2 linked regions of the Nothobranchius furzeri genome follow. The protein of the gene in region 1 purifies or fractionates together with the protein of each later gene. This does not show direct contact. Links are inferred from orthologs where the notes say so. Each region holds a gene or a part of one and is shown on either strand. Other genes may lie near its edges. The genes, in order: nfx1 and larp1.

Region 1 (12,125 bases):
CGTCTTGTGCACAAGTTTTTACACTCAGGCGGCTTAGTGCCACAGGCGACGGGTGGGTACAGCACCATGAGACCACAGTGACACGTCAGCTCATCAAAACCTGCCAGCAGGGGGAGCCGTGACAGCATCAGTGCCAAAGGCAAGAACACAAACTAAAGATGCTGTAAAAACATAAAACCAGAGGCATCTCTTACTCACTGGACTGCCAGCAGGGTTCACAGTTTCCACGGTGACACGGCTCCTGGCAACGGTGCAGGCCACAGTTCAGCTTGTAGCCACAGATTAGGGAACACTTGTGCTCCACGCTCTGGATTAACGTAGAATCCCCAAAAGGTAACATCGCCGTTAGATGATGCCAAACAAATTCACTAACTTTAAACCTTTTTTTGACCCATTTTCAGGTTGAAACGAGAACCTCATGATGTTAAAACTGCAGTTAAAAGCATTTCTTACTGGAAGAAGGAAAATCATCTGTGACTTAGTGATTGCTCACCACACAACAAAGTTCACCGCACTTGTGTCGACCACAGGAGCGCTTCTTGTTGCAGCGTCGCTCACACGTGAACACGAGCTCTTCTACAAGGAAACATCACAGGTCAAACAGAAATTCGGTCCATTCTGATGAGTTTAATTTAAAACTCGTCAGAACTTAACCTTCTTTCTGGATCTTCTCACATGGAGCCTCCTGAAAATCAAATCATTTCAGAAATTTTTAGTAAAAAAGAAATAAGCATTTTTTTGCTTATACTATTGCACACCTTTGTTTTGGAGCCACAGCGACACCTGATCGTTGAGGTCAGAGAGCACGGCCCACAGGCGCCCTCGTGGCACAGGTTCTGACACAAATGGATGGTTTCTGAAGAAGCAGGAGATAATTATCAGTGGATAAGCTTTAAAAACACAGTGGGTTCCAGATAACGCACTTCCTGTTTACTCAAACACAATGGACCACCCGGAAGACAGTTTTAAAAATAGATCCCATGTTTTTTAGTCCTTGTTGACTAAAAATGTAGAATAGATGAAGTGACAGGGTCAGGATAACAGATGTCTGTTTAAACACAACCACCAATGTAGATATCACAAAGAATCGGTGCATTCCTGCAGAGAGAACAGCTCCAAAACTAGATGAGGGAAAGCCATTTGATTAAAATAAAGGGATCAAAACGGTGGATTAATCAGCATTTCTTTATGATTTCAAGTGTTTTGTGCACTAAGAAAGTGTCCAGCATGGACAAACTTTGGCTTTCCTTATTAGATCCTGCTGAAAAGCTTCAGATGACAGTTCTCCTCACCATTGGAGCCACAGGGTAAGGGCTTGTTACACGTCTTCCCACAAGAGGGGATGGGGTCGGAACAGCTGTTCCGCTCAGAGTAGCCCAGATCCAGGAGTTTGGACAGCGGGGTCTGACCACAGGGACACGTCTTCACCAGGCTGGGTGAGCGTGGACATGGCTGGCACGGCCCACGGTGACACACCTGCTGGCACCGGTGAGCTTCACAGCTCAGCATCCTGAACAGACGAAAGGAAAGTATGAAAGGAATCGTCCCGTTTCAACAAAAGTCTGTTCTGTTGCGTCGTCACTCACTTGGAGCAAAACTTTTGACAGGAGAAATGTCCAGAACCGCCAAATCCTTCCTTATCTGTGCCGCAGGCGGCGGTGCGAAGAGTAACGCCACAGTAACAAACTACACACACGGAAAATCAACAGATCAGAAATCTAAATGGTTTACTTTCATGAAACAACATCTTTGAGCCAGTGAGACAAACCCTGCTGGACCTTCAGCTGACAGGGCTGACACGTCCCGCTGTGGCACACCTGCACACAGGTGTGTTCACCACAGTTGAGTAAAGCTCCACACACTTTGTCACACTGGAGCGCCGAAGCCTGGCCGCAGCGCATCGGCTGACTGAAAATAATGATCCAATCGTTACCTAATGTGTCAAATAAACAAGACCATTGTTAAAGATAAAAACAGGACGGAAGATTACCTTGTCTTCCCACAGACGCAGGACTTGGTGATGAATGCGGGACACTGAGGACAAGGACCAGGATGACACAAACTAGAGAGACAGAAAAGTCTCCATGAAATCAGAAATCTAATGATTATTCTGGTCTCACATTAGAATGTTTCCTAACTAAACATTGAGCCAAACAACAACAACAACAACAAAAAAACTATCCAAATGAGACACGTATCCATTTCACCACCCAGGTGTGCACCTGCAGATCTGAAACTCTTTTTCAGTACCTTCCAGAATGAGTTGTTTCAGGGTATTGTCACTTTAAGAGAACAAACTGGAGCTGGCCACGCCCACCCCTCCCCTGCTCAGGCTGCTATAAGCTGAGAAGCTCCAATATCTGGGAGGAGCTCAGAGTAGAGCTGCTGCTGCTCCTCCAGCAGCAGCTCTTATGTATGAAAGGTGATTCTATTCTTAAAAAAACAAATAAATAAAAACACCCATTTGTGATGTCACAAACAAGGATTTTTCTAAACGGCTTGTTTTAGTCCCATAATTCCTAAACCCAACGCTGCCAGAAAACGGATGGGCATTTTTTTAATAAATGAAGGGTTTATAGAGGCAGTGGAGACCCACATGGCTGCACAAAAAAATGCTAAAGATGTCCTTTTCAACTACAGTTCTGCGAGATGAATCGTATCAGCTCACAAATCTTGTTTTTTTTCACAGCTCACATGTTACAGGGGTGGTTGCAGTCCACACCGCTCCTCTTCTTCCCACACATGTCACCACAGCTGTGGGGAATCTCACTGCGCTGCCACTCAGGGTTCGTCACTTTACCTGCCAGTCCAGAATTGGATGAAAAGAAGGACAAAGGAAGATGTGACAATTTAGGCCCGTGACCCAACTACAAGATGATGTGTTGAAGGGAAATGTGAGATGTGCTTGTGGGTGAAGAAATCAAACACTCACCACAGAAGCAGGTGTAGGTGGTCGGGTGTTTCAGAGTAACGTTCTGACAGGCGGGACAACGCCAACCTTCAGCCGAGTCTGAAAAACGGATTCATTTTAACTTCGAATGTAGATTAATCATAAGTCTGACCAACAAGTAGAAAATAAAACGTCCACACAGGGTCCAACAGCCGTACCGTCTGCCTGAGAGGCTGGGGATCGAGCCCATTTCTTGATGCAGTTCAGATGGAAGACGTGGAAGCAGCTGTGGCAGCTCCACACCGGGGCCATAACCCGAATCACGTCGCAGCACACCATGCACTCGTACTTCTCCTCCGACAGCTGTTCAATCAGACATCCTGCGGAGGAGAGGCCAGAGGTTGAGAACAGATCGCTGTAAAACAAACAACTCGTTCTGAAACAGATTAAAGAAACTAAGCTATCTTGGACTGAAATGCATGCTTTGATACAGGTTTAGGTTTTTGACAGAATAAATGAAATGAAAGGTTTGTATTTTACACATTAGAACAAAGTAAAACTTCCTGATTTATTGGATTTTTGAAAAATCTAAAAGAATAGAAAATAAGAGATGAAAACGTGATTTATTCTTTGCTTTCTCCATTAGTGAAGATGACCTCTAACCTGTCTGCGTTTCTTTGCTCTTGGGCATCTTCTCTGAGCTGCTCTGACCCGACTTGCTGTTCTGACGGTTAGTTCTCCTCCCTCCGTGGCTCTGATAAGGTCTTTGAGGTCCCGAGCCTCTTCCAGGCTTACAGACGGGATCCTGAGAAGATCTGCTGAAGTCTGGGTCATGCTGACCACCAGCACCCCTCTCTAAACTCACCTCTTCTGGAGACGGTGCTTTAGGGGGTTTGATTGGTCCGTGCCGTCTCTTTGGGTCGTCGTGTTTCTTCTGATGGTCGTAATGTTGAGTCTGAGTGCCTGATTTGCTCTGTGGAGTTCTCCTGTTGGTCTCAGAAAAATAGTTTTCTCCTCGGATACTTTGAAACCTGTAGCCTGGTACGGTTGTGTTGTTCTCCCTTGTATGATCCCTTTCCTCCATCCGTTCGCCCCTCTTAAGCTCCCTTTTACTGGAATTTTGAGCTGGAGCATCCCGCTCCTTGTTAGTTTGCTCAAAATCTCTATTTGCACCACCTCTTCTCCAGTTGGGAGCATCAGGCCCATCCATGGGATCTGACTGGTAGCCACCTGTGTATCTATGACTTGCATCATACTGGCCAAAGTCACCAATGTGTTTTTGCCCCCGAGGGCCTGAACCTGCCAAATTCCTGTTTAACCCTCTGTTTCCTTCTCTCCTTCCTCTTCCTCTGCCTCTCTTCCTAGCAACATCCTCTCCTTGATACGGAGGATGGTTATACTCTGAATAATTAAAATGATTAGAACCAATCGGTGGTTTAACGCACTGCTGAAAATGCCCATATTGGTAAGACGGATCATGGCTATTACTGCTCAGGTTTCGATCGCCGTTGTGTCTGGGTCGGCCTCTTCTAGGTCTGTGCTGGTGTGACGGCCCATCAGAGCTGAGGTCAGGTGGATCTGTAACAGAAACAGTACAACCGTACACTACTGACCAGTAAAAACAACCAATCACAGTAAAGTTACAGCACTTAAACCTATCACTTTTAACAGTTACTGGACTTAAAAGAACAATGAAAGAAATTTTAAATAACAGCGGCTTTTATCAAAGCTGAGATTTTCAGCACATGCAATCTTTTAAACAAAATCTAAATCAGCACTTCTCTGGGATTTTTCACATCTTTTACAGTTTTTATCTGAATCTCAGTGGCTTTTGTGACATCCAGTCCTTGAACATGACTGTACCGGTGTGCTTTGAAAGTGAGGAAAGTAAAGATGGAAGATTAAAGAAGTAAAACACTAAAAAAAATAAACAATTTTTAATGATAATTTCTGATTATAATCGGCCACTCTGAGTTTTTCATGCAGGCTGAACATGAAAACAGTGTCCTGTGTTAGCTTCTGATAATAAAAAAAAAAGACTGAAAGGCTAGGATTTGAAAATCCTCACAGATCTATGTCACACTGTGAATTTGCATTTATGGCTTTGACCATCTTGGCTCACACCCGCCCACAGGGAGGCTTTTTTTTCTCAGAGAGAGCGGAGAGCATCTCTTTATGCTAGTGACTGCACGCATTCTGCTATCGAGGAGGTGTGCATATCATTTACAATAATGAGTAATCCTGCTGTTTTCAGCCCACCTCTGCAACAGCAAACTTCTGCATCCCAGAACTGGAACATTATAACTTTTTATGACTCATAAGGCATTGCTTAACACTAGAAAACAATGCAAATGTACTGAATAAATGAGTAAACAGATTCAATAAAGGACGTGGTGGAAACAAACTGTAGTATTTGTGGACAGGTTAGGATCTATTCTTAAAGCGTTTTTGACAAGTTGTCAATCAAAGGTACTGGTTCACTCTGCATTTTGGAGCCTTTACAATGCCTGAATAATTACAAAATAAAGGTCTAAATTCCACAGAACTCTAAAGCTGATTGTCCATGCTTTTATTTCCTCTTGTTTAGATTATTGCAATTATTCTATCTTTACTTGTTTTAAGAAATCAGATGTCAGTCGTCTTGGTCCAGAACGCTGCAGCAAGGCTTTTAACAGGAACCAATAGAAGGGCTCACATAACACCGGTTTTATCTTCTTGACATTGGCTACCGGTCAAGTTTAGAATTGATTTTAAGATTTTAGTTTTGACTTCTAGAGCTCTTAATGGACGAGCTCCACAATATTTATCAGACCTTTTAATCCCTCACTCTTCTGGCCGCACTCTACGGTCCTTGGGTCAAAACCTACTGAAGGTCCCTAAGACCAGATTTAAAACTAGAGGGGACCTGTCCTTTCAAGCTGTAGCTCCCAGACTTTGGAACGCCTGCCTTGCCCTTGTTTCTTCGTGTGGCCGACTCTGTTGATTCTTTCAAAAAGCAGCTGAAGACACTTTTATTTGACAAGCTTTTATGTAAGTTGACATTGTGCTCCTGTCCTGTTTTGCCTTCTTATGTATGTTAAATGATAAATGACCCGCACTTGTATAGCGCTGCTCAGAGTAAGGACTCCAAAGCGCTTTACACTACAGTGTATCATTCATCCATTCACACACACATTCACACACTGGTGGGGATGAGCTACATGTAGCCACAGCTGCCCTGGGGCGCACTGACAGAGGCGAGGCTGACGAGCACAGGCGCCACCGGTCCCTCTGACCACCACCAGCAGGCAAGGTGGGTTAAGTGTCTTGCCCAAGGACACAACAGCAATCCCGGAGCCGGGATTGAACCGGCAACCTTCCGATTACTGGACAACCCGCTCAACCTGTTGATGTGAAGCACTTTGTGATTTTATCTGTGAAAAGTGCTATATTAATAAAGTTGTACTTACTCTAAAGCCACTCAACTAAATCATTTTTTAAATTAAACAAAAATCTGGCAACTTATTTAACTGAAAAATACACGAGAACGATTTAATTTGTTAGTTTCGTAGATACACAACTAATATCCATGCTCCAAATTCAATTCAGAAAATCCAAACCAATGACAAGGAAAAAAACAGAACAAGATGTTATTAAATGAAGTCATTAGTATCTGGAGAAGTTTAGAATCGGAATAAATGTCATTTACACTAAAGTTAATGTGGATTTAATCCTAACTTTGGAAATAGCGGTTAGCTCTGGAGCTAGCAAGTCACATGTTTCAGCTCCTGTTACAGTAACCAGATCAGCTGTGTTATCGGTTTCAAAGTTCTCAGTCACGTGTTGTCGTGTCTGATAAAGAACAATTCAAGAGTCACCTCGACAAGCATTTTTAAAACATTTATCTTTACTTCAAAAGTTCTCGCTAACGAAACACGCTAACACAACTAGCGCGAGACTATGTTACAATCAAGCTAACATGATTTATCAAGTATTTTTAAAAATAAACTCACAAGGTAGCTATTATAAATGCCAATTCATTTATCATATAATTATTTAAAAAGTACGTTGGTTACCAGAGGAGCCTTCAGCCATTCACTTAGAACTCCACTTTTCCAAAGTTCACCAACGGCAGGTTGTTTTTTGGAGCGATGACAAGTTCAACCAGGCGATCGGAGACAGTGTCCACCTCCTCACCTGCGCCTTGATGGTTCAAACTAGGAATAATCCACGTTAAAACAATATTATTCCCACCTGCGTTGGCTAAACTCTCCGGCTGAAAGGCTAGCACCGATTCCCGACCGGAACTTCCGCTTAGGATTTTCAAAATAAAATTACTAGCAAAATGAAAGGACGTAAAATATTAAACTGCTTAAATCAAGCGTAAATCAAACAACCTGCACACAAAATGATTTACTTTTACAAGCAATATTTATACATAAACAAAACCTGAAAAACCATTTATAGTTGCTCAAAGACGTAGTTTGATAACAGGAAAGTCATTTGTAAGGACCAGTTCAAGTTTGAAATAAAGATTGCCTAATGTAAAATAATTAGTTCCTTTATTTTCTTCAGCAGCCTTCACAGTTATAATGTTAAAATGCACATAGTAAATATTTACATAAAAAAAGGCTTTTATGCACTTGCATAACAAAAAAGTTTAGTCAGTGTTGTATTTGATGAAACCTAATTCCAAGTCCCCCTTGGAAATTTTTGCCAGGGACTCTAAGAGACCCGTGCAGTCACTGTATTAGCTTCCATTTGATTTGTGTTTCCATTAAAAACCACATAGTAATAAAATGTACGTATGTACACTAAAGATTTTTTGAGATTTTTAGATTTAAAATGACTGATGTTAGCTGCATATTCTGTGAACCTAAAAGAGCCGTTATGGCATCATCAAACCTTTTTTTTGCTGATTGTTTTTGATCAATTACATTTGAACATGCTTTACAATCCAGTGATGCTCACCATTCACCTTTCATTTAAGACCAAGTTATATTTTTTCTCAGTGGTTTTCTCCAGTAAAAATGTGAAAAAGAAAGAAAGAAATGTCAAAGAGGTGTCAAAGGTCATGCTTATTGAATACTGAGCCTAAAGTAACACAATTAACATAGTAAAATTGTTGAATATGTTGCTCAAATTAAATGGTCATAGAAAAAAAAAATATTTTTTTTCCCATTACGTATTTTTTTTATTTTTTGCTGGATTTTTTTCCTGTGAATAAAATCCTTAATTTAAGGGAGGAAAAAGAATAAGTCTGCCCACAGGATGGCGCTTCATGTTTGAGTTTGTCCATCAGCGTAACAGTGCTTTATGGCAAGCCAATTTGCCATATATTGGTTTCTCAAAGAAAGCATCCTCAATTGACATTTTATTACTATTCTTTTAATTTACCCCAAATATTCAGATATGACAGATGTCCCTTCTGGACATAAAAATTAGAAAAACAATAAACATGTTTAACAGAAATTCTTGTTAGTTGAAATTTTAGATATACAGAATGAGACTTTTTATTTGAAGGTGTGTGGAAAAATCAGCAGGGTAAATGTCATTATTATTTCTGATATCAGACACTAGCAATTAATCAAAAGGTTATATGTACAATACAATGATTGATTACGCGTTAAAATTGATTGTCACACTCCATGATCATTGAGACTTTTGAGGCATACAGAAAACCACAATATATTATTTTATTTTGGTCTATAAATCACATTTACTTTTGGATGCAATCTTGTAGTTTGAAAGAAAAGTGAAAGTGGGTGATGGTGAGATATATCTTTCATAGCAACTGTTTTAATGAGTTAATAAAAATCTAGAATAAACCTAAATGAACAAATGGATTCGGCTTTACATGAGAGCCGGGAAAGAATATATAAACTTTTAATTTAGAGACCCCAAAATATAATTAAAGACTTTGATATTCATTATGAAAACCACATATTTGACCTAAATAAGTGGGTTATTTAGCTAAATACCACACGAAGACAAAGCTGGTGCTTAATTTATTTTGATAAGACACCGTTTTACAAATTATAGGCAAAAACACTAACATATGTTGTGGTAAAGCAGATTTTAGTCATTAACGCAGGAGAAAATGACGCTCCACGCTCCTACAGGCAGCTACAGCTAGCTGCCATTAATTAGATGGGTTTCTGATCATCGGATAAATCCCTTAAGTGCCATCGATCCCTAACAGACCGCTAAAAGTAACAGTGTCAGAAGTTACGTGTTTATTTTTCGCACATCGTTTTCTATAACAGCCCTACAGCTACGCATCACTCAGCCCTCAGAAGATCCATGGCGCATGCGCAGACCCCGTGAACGATGCGAGGTGGGTGGGTAAGAAATGAGTAAAGCGATACCAAATACCGGAAACTAAATGATTTGCTTTTCAAAACGAAGTAATTCATGTGAAAACTTGGTGACAGTTGTGTTCCTGATATATTATATATTCACGTATTTATTCATAACTGAGCATTTGATTTTTAAACGTGACTAGTGATAATGTGTTTTCCTGTACAATGGAGTCAGATATTTTTGTCATTTCAATTCAATTCAAGTTTATTTATATGGCTTCAACCATTCGTAAATGTAAATGTTTTTATAAAGCTATAGTGTCTGAATTGAATGAGCAGTAGTTCAATTTTTACGTATTGAACATATTTTGAAAATCTAAACCGGAAGTAGTGCTTCCTCGTACTGCTAGCTTAACTCTTAGCCCCTGCACAGCTCCGAACGCGGCCGAGCAGAAGAGATCGTCAGTGAATGTGTCTGCGGCACCATTTAGCTAAAACACAAACTACGGCTAAAGAAGAGAGGACCAAACCACGGAGCAGTTCCAGACGACCACGGCACACCCTGGACTATGATAAAACCCACCCTCGGGCCGGTAACGGTGCGCTGTTTCTCAACGTCGAGCGGGTTGTTGCACATCTGTAGATCATAATGAAGGCATCCGCTATTCTTCACGGCGGTTTTTCCTCCGAGGTTTAGTTAGACGCGGGGTGACACTAAATATAAATGTGTCGGTCTTAGACCTCCTCTCAAGGAAGCCGCTCGCCGAGGGTGAACGCACCCTTAGTTTAGACATTTAACACAAAGTCATCCACGGAGAACAGTGAAGTCATTTGAGAAGCCTCGGCAGAAGGAGACACGTCTTAATCATCCCTGATAGTTTTACACAGTTCAGCTCTGCGAGGAAAAATCGGTGCTTTCCTTCGAGCCGCGACCGTCAGATCCCCCCTGCAGCTTTCTGGCTTGTTTTGTGACTCTTGCATGGTTTTGTCTTTCTGAGCCTACATCGCCGAGCCTTCCTGTGGGCATTTCCCCCCTTTCCCAGTAAAGGATGCCGGATCAAATATCGGTGTCCGAGTTTCTCTCGGAGACGACAGAGGATTACAATTCCCCGACAACATCCAGCTTCACCACCCGCATGCAGAGCTGCAGGAATACAGTGAACGTGCTGGAGGAGGTAAGGCCATTGAAAGGTTATTTAACAGCAAAAACTCACATTCCCCTTTATGAACAGCATTGCTTTTTTAGTAATATCCAATGAAACACACCAGGTTGCAATGACAGTCTGTTAAAACGACCTGATGGTCATTTTATCATCCACTCAAGGATCTAAATTGAGTTTTTTGTTGCACAAAAACTGCACCTGTTGCTGCAACTGTGCATTTTCTTATGATGCAAAATTATTCACATTCATTGAGACTGATTGAGAGGCCCTCATCCGAAGAAATCTTTTTAGATATGGAGTAATAATGGAGGAGGAGGATAGCTTTGTTGGAAGAGTGCAGGGAATAGAAGGATGTGCACTTAGGCCTGCAGCTCTCTGTGTTCACTATTACATAACTTTCAAGTATTCTGGCAGGGTTGCAGCTGTGTTTGTGTGACAGAAAGACCTATTTTAGTCACTGGCTGCTGTCAGATGTGGCTTCAACTGCTTCAGAGTCATTTGTCAGGTGAAACAGATTAAAGAAACGTTTAAAAATCACACAGGATGAGATGTAATCGGGTCAGAGAGGTGGGTTTGTGTTTGTGTGAGTGTGTCCCGGCTCCTGCTGATGATGGCATCCCTCCTGCCATGATTAAATGGAGCATCAAACCAGGAGGGAGCACACCTTCGTTCACTGCTGAATCCAAAATGTGAACTTATTTCACACTTTGAATCAGGCATGAATTACATCAGGATCACAGCTTTTAGTGTAATCTGTTCTGTAAAGCAGGAGCGTTAAACGTGACATCCATTTATGCTGCTACAATCTAAATATCTGCATTTAAAAGGGACGTTTGAGCTAGTTTTAATAGGGATGCATCTATTCTTGACTTGAGTGTCGATACCAATTTCTGATTCTTGTACGATTCTTATTATTATTTTTAGTTTGGATTAATTAGAAACATTTCTCTGAAAGTAAAACTGCCCCCTGGAAGCGATGGTATTGCTAATGTAAATTGGCACTAAGTGATGAAATGTTCAGGAATGGGTGAAAATTTCACTTTTTTTAAAGCTTCCCAGCATTCGTGCATTCACAACCTCCTGACTCTTCATGACTGATAAGCTAATGGTTAGGCCGAGATTCTTAAAAGTAGTGTAAAAGATTTTTCTCTGAAGCTTTTTTTGCCGTATTGCCTAAAATGCTTTTCACATACCAATGAATTAAATGTTGTATTAAAAAATGTTATGTAAGAAAAAAGTAAATAAAATTTTAATAATAATTTTATTCACCTCTGAAGTTTAGTCAATCCTGGAAAAACCTAATCCAACCATTGTGAACGTCCCATTCTAAGTGATTGGATCTTGATTCATTCATCAAACTACCGTATGACTCAAAGGGCATGCCCCTCTGTGTGCAAAAATTGTACGTTTTTGGCTTGAAGCATCTGAACAGGAAGCAAATCCAGAGGCGGGCTAGCAATATTTGCTAGCATGCTAAGTTGTTATACAGTTACATAAGCTGTTTTTACAGGACCATAGCGTTTGCAAAACGGGATTTGCCGCGGCTCCCTGGGGAGGATAAAGGTTGTTCATAAGATCAGACCGTGGCGGTAATGTGGTGCAATCGTGGCAATTTTAGAAAAGATTAGGTGATGGTGGCATAAAGGGGGTATGGGGGCGGTCTCTGCGCTGCCGCAGGCTTCCATTTCCCCCTGAGCCTGAGATCAGTGGTCTCCTCTAAAAAGCAGCTGAAAACTCCCTTGTTCAAAGTGGCTTTTGTACGACCTTCTTCACCACTCTCTCTTTATTCTG
Region 2 (11,387 bases), on another chromosome or scaffold:
CAGCTCGGTATGAGTGTGTTTTTAACTTTAAACAAGATAAGGGGGGAGTCCAGACAACTCAACACAGTTTTTAATTCTAGATTTTTGATTTTTGTTTTTTGTTTTCTTCAACCATTGCTGGTCCAGATTTCAGGCTGAGCAGGTTTTTAGAGTTAATGCTCAGATTTCCTGCTCAGTTCGGCACAATCCTTAATATATCTTTACACATTTTAATGTTTTTACTAGGGAAGCCCTCATGTGGCAACTTGCTCTTTGCTTTATTAAATCTCACATTCATCCGGATTTCAAAAGTACAGTTTTTCCCCTTTTTAGTATTGCTGTTTTATTACGATCGCTGGAATTTTCACATCAATTATGTGACTCACTTTTACTTTCAGCTTCACATCTGCCTTTCTTCTTTTACATTCCTGCTTCGTCTGTCTCTACAAGCGGAGTTTGCGCCATCCCTTCTACACCCACCGTGTCCTGAACACGATGAAATGAGCTTTGGATCATGTGTGTGAAGCGTGTTTACGCGTGGCAGTCTTCAAACTCAATAAACTCAAAAAATGTCAATAGAAACACCCAGAATTGTTGGTCAGATTGAAGTTGCACATCTCCACTGTCTTCTGGTGTAAATAACTTCATGAGGGATAATACACCACATTTTTCCTCCTGAACCTGAGGTTTGACAACCCGACAGACCCTCCTCTCCAGAAGTCCTGAATAGACCTTACCAGGGAGGCTCAGGAGTGTGATCTCCCTGTGGGTGGAACACATCCTGTGGTCCCCCTTTTTAAGTCAGGGAACCACCACCCTGGTCTGCCAGTCCAGTGGGACTGCCGCCGTTGTCCACGCGATGTTACAGAGCTGCGTTAACCAACACAGCCTTGCAACATCCAGAGCCTTAAGGAACTCGAGGCAGATCTTCTCCACCCCTGGGGCCTTGCCACAGAGGAGCCTTTTCACCACCTCAGAGACCTCAGCATCAGAGATTAGAGAATCCAACCCAAAGTCTCCAGAGTCTGCTTCTTCCACTGGAAGATATGCCAGTGGGATTAAGGAGGTCTTCCAAGTGCTCCGCCCACCACAGCGTCTCTAGTCGAGGTCAGCAGCATACCATCCCTACTATAAAAAGTGTTGGTAGCACACTGCTTCACCCCTTTAGATGCCGGATAGTGGACCAGAATCTCCTCAAAGCCGTATGAAAGTCTTTCTCTGTAATCTCACCAAACTCCTCCCATGCTTATGCTTGTTTTTTGGAGTTTTTGCTTCCGCGACCACCCGAGCTGCATTCCATCAGTTCACACTTCAGTTGGAAGAGGCTCCTTCTGACTGGAGACTGCCAGACGTCAGGGGGGCCATTCCTCCCAACCACACCTCTCCAGGTCTCGCCGTGGCTGCCCACGTGAGCAGAGCAGAATAACAGAATAAATTAGACAAAGTGCTGTTGAGTTTGATGCTGCACAGAAGAAACTATTTTAACATTTATCTTTCGCCAGTGAGTATAAAAGCTTTACTTCTTAAGCAATCAGGCTCTTTCGATTCTATAACTTCTGAAATGTTGCTGTAAATAATGAGTTCTTCCATGATAAAATTTAAAGAAAGGACGCTGTTTAACAGGATTTTGAAGCTGCAGAAGTGGATTTGATCTTGGCGCTCTGTCCGTTTCCTCTGAAGGTCATTACGACTACCACTTCGGCTACAAGTCCTACGACGTGAAGGACGGACCGTACAGCCAGAAGTTCAACAGCTCCGTCACCTACTACTATGACAACATGAGCAGCAGCGATCTGTACACCGTGGACCAGGACCTGCTGAAGGACTACATCAAGAGGCAGATGTGAGTTTGTAACTTCAGAGGTGATGAGCTTTCATGTCTCATCTCTGATGGGTAGTCAATGCAGAGAGATCATAGTTGATAAACTCCTGCTCCACTTTGACCAAATATGCACACGATATAATCTGTGGGTACGATTTTATTTTGATGGTGCCCCAAAATTCTATTTAAATAAAAAATACATTAAAGCATTCAAACCAGCTGTGGCAGATCCCCTTAAAGAGCAAGTCACCCCAGATCAGTTTTTTGCTGTTCAACGATATAAATGAGTGTCTAATCGTGCTGTAAACATGGGTAGTCAATAATTTGGCACTTTAATGCATCTTAGTTAAAATGAAAATATTCTACCTAAAACTGTCAGTGTTGCGCCCTCTTCAGGTAAAATACTCCGCACTACATTTTAATTTAAATCGGCCATTGCTATTGGCTAAGAGGTACCCTATGATGTTTCCTGGTACCATATGAGGGCACAGTGCCACTGAGCCTGTGTGTGTTTATTTGTTAGCAGCTCTGCCATCTGGATCTGCCCGGAAACAACTCCCTGTGGCGCATTTTTCAAACAGGAAATGGGAGTGGCTGCTAGGGGGTGACTTGCTCTTTAAGTAAAACTAGTCTTATCTGGAGCTGAAACCTGATCTTGTCCTGGTTTCTAATGTGATAAATTCTAAATTCATCCACAAATTCCTCGTTTTGTTTCATTGTGCATCAAATTCCCTCTGAATACCCCGCTTCTCACCCCTGTAGAGAGTATTATTTCAGTCTGGACAATCTGGAGCGGGACTTTTTCCTGCGGAGGAAGATGGATCAGGAGGGCTTCCTGCCCATCGGACTCATCGCCAGTTTCCACAGAGTTCAGGCGCTCACTACAGACGTCAACCTCATCATCGAGGTTAGCGGAGCTGGAGTTTGTTTTTATAGAACAGTAAAAAGAAACGCGTTTGGAAGCTGAACATTGATTATCTGCTGCCAGGCTTTAAAGGGCAGCAAAGAGGTGGAAATCATCGACATGAAGATCCGGCGGAAGGAAGACCCAGAGAAGTGGCCTCTTCCTGGTCTGATGATGCCCAACCACACGCACACCGACTTCTCCCAGCTCATCAACTGCCCCGAGTTTGTTCCCAGACAGATGTCTGAAGAGCGCAGAGGTGAGGAAGGTTCGTTGGGATTTCATGTTTCTAAAACATCAAACCAACCTGGGGTTTCGTCTCTTCTCCAGGGTCTCCCAGAGCCTCCACGCCAGTTCAACAACTGACCAAGACTGAACCAGATATCTCCAACCTCAAGACCATGCCCAAGGGCCTCTCCGCCAGTCTCCCTGATCTGGACTCCGAGTCCTGGATCGAGGTGAAGAAGAGGCCCAGACCCTCTCCAGCCAGACCGAAGGTGAGCTCCGAAAACCTTTGAAAACTTAGCAGAAGATTATCTTGTTGTGTTTGGTTCACCTCCACCGTTATTGTGCGACTCACATCAGGTCCCTGTGTTGCAGCAGAAAGAAAAGGACGAATCTCTTCGGTCTCTGGTTCCTCGGCCCGGCTCCTCTCCATCCCCTGTCGTCTCAGGAAATAAGGTGAGTGAGGAAATCATTTTCCCCTCTTCTGATCCAACGGTTTGAGGCGTTTTGTTATTTTTGTTTACAGATGCATGTCTACTGATTGTACGATGATGTGGTGTTATGTTGTCTGATTAGGACGGAGCAGAGCAGGACGAACCCGAGGAGCTGGACTTCATGTTCGATGAGGAGATGGAGCAGATAGACGGACGCCGCAACACCTTCACCGACTGGTCGGACGAGGAGACGGACGGTGAGCTGGACGACAACGACATCAACAAGATCCTGATTGTGACGCAGACGCCGCCCTACCTGAGAAAACATCCGGGGGGCGACCGCACCGGTCAGCACACATCGCGCGCCAAGCTGACCAGCGAGCTGGCCAAAGTCATCAACGACGGGCTCTTCTACTACGAGCAGGACCTGTGGGAAGACAACTTCGAGCCCGAGTACGCCACCATCAAGGTGAGGTTGCACTCTTTGATGACATCACCAGAACAGCAGGTGCTGGGCATGCTCTGGCGGTTTCTGTCTCACGTTTTGGAGACATTTCTGCACGAAACTGGAGGACGAGGAGATGCATTCAGTGGCAGCTGGAGCTGTTTCTGGATGTGGAATGGAAACACAAAGTAGTTTTTGTTTAGTTTTGTTGTCCTCGCTGCCTTTTTGTTGCATTGTGGTACCTTCACGTGTTCACCGGCACTCATCCAGCGCTGCGCGGAACAAAGGCAGTTTGTTTATAAATAAACCCCACATGGAAGGTCTCGGCCTGGGGATCGGAGCCGCCGGGTCGAGGAGGAAGAAAATGGAAGAGACTCGGAGTTTACCCGTCGCTGTGAGTCACATCTGATCAGGATCAGGGAGAGAAACCACCTGGGAGCTGTCCTTACCCTGAGCTTTAGATAAAGGGCTGTGTGTGTCTGTGGGTTTCTGAGTAGAAGTAGAAGCTGTGTGCGTGTGTGTGTGTGTGTGTGTGTGTGTGTGTGTGTGGGAACAGTTCGTGTCAGATATGAAGGTGAAGAGGGTGTTTCTGGCTGCTGTGCTTTGCTGCTGCGTCTCGGTCTCCAGACTGCTGCAGATGAGGTCTGATCATTTCACAGTGTTCATGCGAAAGCTTTTCTGGTTTAAACCAGTTCTACGTTAGTTTCTGTTCTAGTTACCGACAATCCCAGCAGTTTGCTCTGATGAAAATCACAATAACTTTTCTCAAATTTCTTTTTACAGCAAGAGGTGGAGAACTTCAAGAAGGTCCACCTGATCAGCCGTGAGGAGTTCGACTGTCTGACACCAGAACCTCCCGTTGACCCCAACCAGGAGGTCCCCCCCGGGCCGCCGCGGCCCCAACAGAGTAAGGACACGCGTGTTTGTGTAAACCTAAAGCCGCTTTAATCCAGCTTCATCTACCTGATGGTGCAACATGGAAAAGATTAAACTTCAAATGTTGATATTAATAAAGACAACCCAACTACTGTTGGGCAAGAAGAAACGATTAGTCAGACTGTTTTAGAGTCGATGGTTTTCCTTTATGAAGGTGAGTAAAAACTTGGAATGTTTCTTTTCTGAGGTCAGATGGCTGAGTTGAGTCTATTATGATCTAGTGGATAAAAACGGGATTGTTTCATTTGTTTTCCGTCTCTAAACACGTTGAAATGTGAAACTCAGACGGTTGTAATAGAATGAGCCGGCGGTTTTAGAGATTTAACTCCTGACTTTTCCTTCTGCGTCGTCTTCAGTTCCTACAGACGCTCTAGCCAACAAACTCTTTGGAGCCCCCGAACCCTCGTCTACAGCCCGCTCGCTCCCCACCACAGTGCCCGAGTCACCCAACTACCGCAGTGCCCGGACGCCCCGCACGCCTCGCACCCCTCACCGAAAAGACCCAACCATGACGCCACGCTTCTACCCGGTGGTGAAGGAAAGTCGTCCGGTTGACGCCAAGGTGAGGGGAAGCGGTTTGGTAAAGCGAGAGGTCTTATAGACTGACAGGAACGATAAACGCTTGTTGGGTTTGTTTCAGACGCCCAGAAAGAGGAAGACCCGGCACAGCTCAAACCCGCCGCTGGAGTGTCATGTTGGCTGGGTGATGGACTCGAGAGAACATCGCTCCCGCACCGCCTCCGTCAGGTGGGACGTCCATGTGCTGATGCTGCCGCTGATGTTTTCCTCCCAGTCTCGGATCTAACTGAACTCTTGCTCCTTGTGCCTCCCTCCCAGCTCTAACGCCAGCCCGTCAGAGGGCACCCCCGCCCTTAGCAACATCGGCTGCACCCCCCAGTCCCTCCCCAAGTTCCAGCACCCGTCGCACGAGCTGCTCAAGGAAAACGGCTTCACGCAACACGTTTACCACAAGTACCGGCGGCGCTGCCTCAACGGTACGTCGCCTCCTCACGGTTTATTCTACAGGAGTAATCCTTCATTGTGAGTAACCCCATCTCTGCTCTCCACCAATCACAGAGCGGAAGCGGCTTGGAATCGGCCAATCGCAGGAGATGAACACGCTCTTCCGCTTCTGGTCGTTTTTCTTGCGGGATCACTTCAACAGGAAGATGTACGAGGAGTTCAGACAGCTGGTGGTGGAGGACGGGAAAGAAGGTTACAGGTGAGGTGACGGCTTTGAGAACTTGTGTTTCTAAATTCTGATTGAAATTGATTCCTCGTGTGTTTGTGGGCGACAGGTACGGTTTAGAGTGCTTGTTCAGGTACTACAGCTACGGTCTGGAGAAGAAGTTCAGACCAGACATCTTTAAGGACTTCCAGGAGGAAACCGTCAAAGACTACGAAGCCGGTGAGGAAACATGAAGCGGATCATTCTGACAGTTTAGGCCTCCTAAACGAGCGTTTGTTGGTGAAAGTATATAAAACTGTGTTTGTGTCTGCTGATCTCAGGTCAGCTTTATGGACTGGAGAAGTTCTGGGCTTTCCTCAAATACTCCAAAGCCAAGACTTTGGAGATCGACCCGAAACTCCAGGAGCACCTGAGCAAGTTTAAACGACTGGAGGATTTCAGAATAGATGTAAGAGTTTTTGTTTTAATCCAGATTAAAGGTGAAATAAATTCTGATACTGATAATTATTGTTGTTTCCAGCCACCGATGGAGGAAGGAGGCCGGAAAAGACACGCGTCCAGTGGGGACGGTCGCCGTCGCCATCCCTCCCAGTCCTCCAGCCGACCTCACAGCCAGGCGAGCGGAGGCTCCGCCCCTGCCTCTAAGGATGTTGCCAAACCCCCCTCCCAGAAAGCCCCCGCCCACAGCGCTGATCCCACACCGGACGCCAAAGCTCTGAAATAACTGCTGCACCGATGCGCTGGCCCATTTGGATCGACTGCACCACGTCTTCAAATCACCGGTTCTTTCTGCGCCACCGGAGGGGGAGGAGCCTCCAGCTCTGCATCTGATGAAAACAAAAGCCACCTTCTCAAGTTTTATTAGATCCTTTGGAGTAATTTAGAACCTTAATTAGACAAATAAATCGTGAGGGAATAAAAAAAACACATCTTGAGCGGTCCGAGACTTTTATTTCCTGCTAAGTCGACTCCCCCTCCCTCCCCCTCGCTCTCTGATCTCCTGCTGGCTGAAAGATTTGGATTCCTCCTCAGACGTCGTGTTTCAGAATTCTTTAGCAGGAGGTGGTTGAACCGGACTGATCTGGAAGCTGAGCTGCTCCCGACGTTCAGCCGGACCAAAGTGGTTTCAACTGGGCGACCGACCTCTCCAGACCCGGGGCTCAAACAGAGAAATATTTGATTTCCTTTATGGCTGGATACCGAGGGGGAACTATGAAAGAATAAGTGACTTGTTTCAACCCCTCACTTTGGACAGATTATTGAAAGTTGCCTTATTTTGATGGTTTTACTGCTTCCAACTTGTGCCCGCCACCGTTCTGTCGATTGAACAGCATCAAAATCACCATTTGTCTCATCGGTTTCCACCTGAGGCCACTGGGTGGCGTTTTGTCTGCCAAATTGTCCTCCGCTTCCTTTCATCTTTGTCTGTGAACTGTCTTCCACGTGTCCTTTGATCTGTTATTGTGACGACTTGTAGCTTTGTGTGCTGAAAGCTGATGGAAGTTCATCACCGTTCCTCTACGACCCTTCAAAATAAAATAAAAAAAGGAAGTGGGACTTGACGACGACTTCCTTTTGGGTGCTTCTCTTCCCACATCTGTCAGACATGTTGCATTCATCTGTTTATCCATCCATCCATCAGTCGAGCATCAACACCGCTGCAGGACTGAAATCCTCACTCTGGACTACTAGATGATTGTGAGGAGAACAGACGCTGGTATTGGACCTTGTTGCTTCCTGTTTCTCACATCGGTTACAGGTGTGAACACTAAGGAGTGCAGTCAGATACAGTTGCAGCAGCGGCTTCGTGTTTTTGTTTTCCTCTGATGGAAACCCTGATCCAGCTCGAGACCTGATGATATCCAACAGATTCCCTTTCCACTGGCGAAACTGTGAATTAGACTGATGAAGAGGAACGATCCCCTGCTTTGTTTTAGCCCTTACAGAACACACATCTTTGCCTATATGTGTGTTCTATTTTTAACTCTTATTGCTTTTTAACTTCCATTTGCTGTGTTTCTAGAGCCTAGAGTTTACTCTGGAGATGTGGCTCAAAAAAAACATCTGGATTTCAAAAATCAAAGCCGTGTGATCACACAAAAGGGAACGTCTTCACCTGGGTGAAGTCGGGATGACTCCTGTAGAATCTGACGACTATTTTGCACCGTTGTCAAACTGGGAGTCTGATTTCCAACAAAAACCTGGCTAACTAATTACTGAACCATCAGTTTTGTTTCATATGTTTCGTAGGTTTGAAAGAAAATCTTACTTTTATTTTCTTTTTTTTTTGAGATTTGAAAAGTCTTAGCTCACACAGAAATGAACCAGTTGTTTTGTTGCTTGTTTCTTTTAGCTGCAGTGACATCATTGAAACCTGGTATATTTAGACGAAACTGTGCCTGTTTTTGATTCTTCAAGTCTAGCTGTAGTGATGATTCAGCCTGTCGGTACCTACGGTGTACGTCACGTTTTCCTGTCAGTGTTTTTCCGTTTGTTCCCTTCAAATCCAGCGTTGTTGGATGTAAAATAAAAAGCTAATTGGAGCTGTTCCCCACATGCTTCAGCTTCACGTCACATCTTCAGGGAGGTTTGAATCTGTTAGACTTCCAGCTGCTGCAGTGTTTACCAGGCTGAAGCATATGAGCCACAACAAAAACACACTTTTTTCCCCAGAAGCCTTTGAGTGATTGGATGTGATGGACCGTTATTCCCCCCCCCCCCCCCCACCACCACCCTGTCACCTCCCTTTAATGTGATCATCACCTGTTTGTGAACAACTTATTGGGGGGTTTACAGCATCAAAGTGCTGCTAGCTGCCCTCACAAACTCTAGGGGGCGCTGCCTACTCGGATCATCAGTTTTACAGGAGCAGACTGAAGATGGGAAGATCAGAGAAAGACATGGAAAAGTGGGAAGGAAAAGAGTGACAGGTTCTGATGTCTGGAGACTGAGAATAATAGGACAGATTTCCATAAAGCCATATGATTAAGCAACAACTGTATGAACCATTAAAGTTCAGAACATGATCCTAGGCTTGTCATGAGGAAAAAAAAAAGATTAAATGGATAAAAGGAGCAAAAAAATATATAAAATGGGAAAAATGTAAAATACTTGAATGAGACCTTGTATTATAACATTTAATATTCATAATATCTGCTTTGTAGGCTGACGTGATTCGCTATTAGTGTCATTTGTAATTTGTAGTAATTATGCTTTTCCTTTAATAAAGAAAAAAAAACACAAAAACTGACAAAAAACCTTAAACACCAGATGCTGTGGAATCATTTCTCATGTGACTGAACACTAAAAACACACACACAAACACACACAGAAAAACTTTTATTTATTACAGACGGCTTCATAACCAATAGTTTAGTAAATTGTATAAAAGTTCACATTTAACATTAGAGAAGTTTAAGTGCCACAACAATAAAGTGCAACTCTTGGAGCTACATCGTGGTGCTTTTAAGTGTCGTTAGGAAATCCGTTTAGGAATGAATCCAGGTTTAACACTGAAATTCAAAATGGAAATAAAGTACCGGTAGATAAAATTAGTTTAAAAGTCATGGTAGTTCTAGAAATCCCATCATACATAAGAAAATGTCAGATTAATTACATTAGAAGTTCAGATGTTTAGTTTAAGTCTTTGGCAGCATTTGGAGGTTTGGTTTTGGTGCAGGAAGCTGGTAGTCGAAGTGATGGAAAGTCTTAAGAAGAGCATTTATTTGAAAAAAAAAAATAAAAATCCTAAATTTAACAGTTAAAAGTGAAAACTGAGGAAAAACTATTTTATTAAGTATATCTGTCCCAAAGACCCAATATTCCTCTTAGGCCCGGTTCACACACACAAGAAATTCATTATATATATAATTTTTTTTAAACAATATTAAGGATGCCCTGGATTACTGTGATGTCTTTAAAGATAATCTTCCTGCCGTGTGTGGTGTGTTAAGTGTGCTCTGGTTTGCTTAGCACATCGGGAGCACTCCAATTAAGTCAGGGTCATTAAACATGTTAGTATAGGGAGTTTTCTGGTCTGCTCATGGGTCTCTGGAAGAATGAAAAAATACTGGGCTAAAACGGTTATTTTCTGATTTTCTTGGCTTCACGCCCTGAATCGCACATATGATGTACGTCAATTTAAATAATAATGTGTTTCGACCATGCCAGTCACATACTTTACAGACTTTTACAAACGGAGAAAACTCATGATGCATGACTATAAACCAGCTGTCGGCACGGTCGCACATAAGTCATCCCCTCTCCCCTAGAGTAGCTGCTACTTGCCTCATGGACAGATTTATGGTAGTTCTTTCGTCCTGGATGAAGGATTCATAGCTATTTTTCCTCTTTTTCTCAGTGTCTGGTTTGATAACGTCAATTTGGTGATGCACAGTAGTCCTGGACATATTTTCACACAACAGTTAAAATAACTTTTGCCCCCATTCAAAATGAAACCCTTTTTTGGCATCAGAATGTGTCTTTAAAATTTGCGGGCATATGTGAAACCCATGGATGAAATGTCACTCTGTGGCCAGAATATTGCACTTGCAACTTCAGAGTTTACAGACTGGTTCCTGTTAAGTGGAGCGTACGTGCCTGGCGCTAGAGTCCATTTCCAGCAAATTTCCTGCATGTTTCAGGTTCTGAACACAACCAATTTGTTTAGACACTAGGGAAGGCTGAGAAGTTAGATTATTTTTTTTTATATATATAAACGCACAGCAAGGAGTTTTGGTTTTACTAACAAACATTAGAGGGTGCTAAACGCAAGCCAAAACTGCATAGTAACCCTTTATGTCTTGCTATGTGAATTCGGCCAATTTAATCATGTTTGGCATTGTAGTGGCAAATGCATAAGAACCGAATTTATCTCAACCTGTCACACTGCACAAGCGCCAACTCGTTGCCATGGAAATTGCGTTTGCTCCAGCGTGAGAACATGATTGGTGCGCCGTGATGAAGTCATACAGTTTAAATTGGATGCAACAACAGAAAATAAGGTGCAGTGCCTGCTTAGGTAGAAGTTCGGTTACATCTGCTGCACAAACATTAATCCAGATCCTGTCCCAGTAATTAGATATGATCTGCTTCTCAAAAGGAAAATCTGGATTTTGTCACAGAAAAGTGAAGTTTGGGAGTTGTAGCAGAGCTTCACAGTTTAAAATCAAATACATGAAATTTAAAATGATCACTTGAGTAGGAACTAGAAAGGTTAAGAGGCCATTATTGGCTCTTTTTGGGTGAGTCAGGGATGCTCTGGGTGAGAGGGGTGAAGCTGGTAAGAAGAACGTGCCGTTCATACTGCTTGGTCTCTCGGAATTTAGCGTCAGTGCCGTGGAGCCGGTCCAGAACACCAAAAACCCCAAAGCACTGGTTGAACCTGGAACCAGAATAATACACCTTTAGACAATGTCTTTAAACTTTAGTTTGGGTATCTAAAGTCATTTATA

The links.
Region 2: the proteins of nfx1 (region 1) and larp1 purify together in Homo sapiens (affinity purification with mass spectrometry, with the first as the bait; 3 studies listed by BioGRID). This does not show direct contact. The link is inferred for Nothobranchius furzeri from reciprocal best matches to the Homo sapiens genes NFX1 and LARP1.

Annotation. Positions count from the first base shown.
Region 1 is NC_091747.1:45,563,016-45,575,140, forward strand, and holds the start of nfx1 (transcriptional repressor NF-X1), read right to left. Parts: upstream 7,164-12,125; 5' UTR 6,965-7,163; coding exon 6,946-6,964; intron 4,469-6,945; coding exon 3,554-4,468; intron 3,271-3,553; coding exon 3,109-3,270; intron 3,011-3,108; coding exon 2,933-3,010; intron 2,801-2,932; coding exon 2,695-2,800; intron 2,063-2,694; coding exon 1,991-2,062; intron 1,909-1,990; coding exon 1,769-1,908; intron 1,687-1,768; coding exon 1,587-1,686; intron 1,511-1,586; coding exon 1,293-1,510; intron 857-1,292; coding exon 759-856; intron 686-758; coding exon 655-685; intron 577-654; coding exon 494-576; intron 308-493; coding exon 199-307; intron 101-198; coding exon 1-100. Other genes in the region: asap1b (arf-GAP with SH3 domain, ANK repeat and PH domain-containing protein 1), read left to right, coding at 10,221-10,346. UniProt on the Homo sapiens protein: Binds to the X-box motif of MHC class II genes and represses their expression. May play an important role in regulating the duration of an inflammatory response by limiting the period in which MHC class II molecules are induced by interferon-gamma.
Region 2 is NC_091750.1:54,241,515-54,252,901, forward strand, and holds the end of larp1 (la-related protein 1), read left to right. Parts: intron 1-1,659; coding exon 1,660-1,822; intron 1,823-2,563; coding exon 2,564-2,708; intron 2,709-2,789; coding exon 2,790-2,964; intron 2,965-3,035; coding exon 3,036-3,202; intron 3,203-3,290; coding exon 3,291-3,386; intron 3,387-3,506; coding exon 3,507-3,833; intron 3,834-4,592; coding exon 4,593-4,716; intron 4,717-5,101; coding exon 5,102-5,307; intron 5,308-5,385; coding exon 5,386-5,492; intron 5,493-5,582; coding exon 5,583-5,740; intron 5,741-5,822; coding exon 5,823-5,967; intron 5,968-6,043; coding exon 6,044-6,153; intron 6,154-6,254; coding exon 6,255-6,382; intron 6,383-6,454; coding exon 6,455-6,658; 3' UTR 6,659-6,888; downstream 6,889-11,387. Other genes in the region: faxdc2 (fatty acid hydroxylase domain-containing protein 2), read right to left, coding at 11,161-11,317. UniProt on the Homo sapiens protein: RNA-binding protein that regulates the translation of specific target mRNA species downstream of the mTORC1 complex, in function of growth signals and nutrient availability.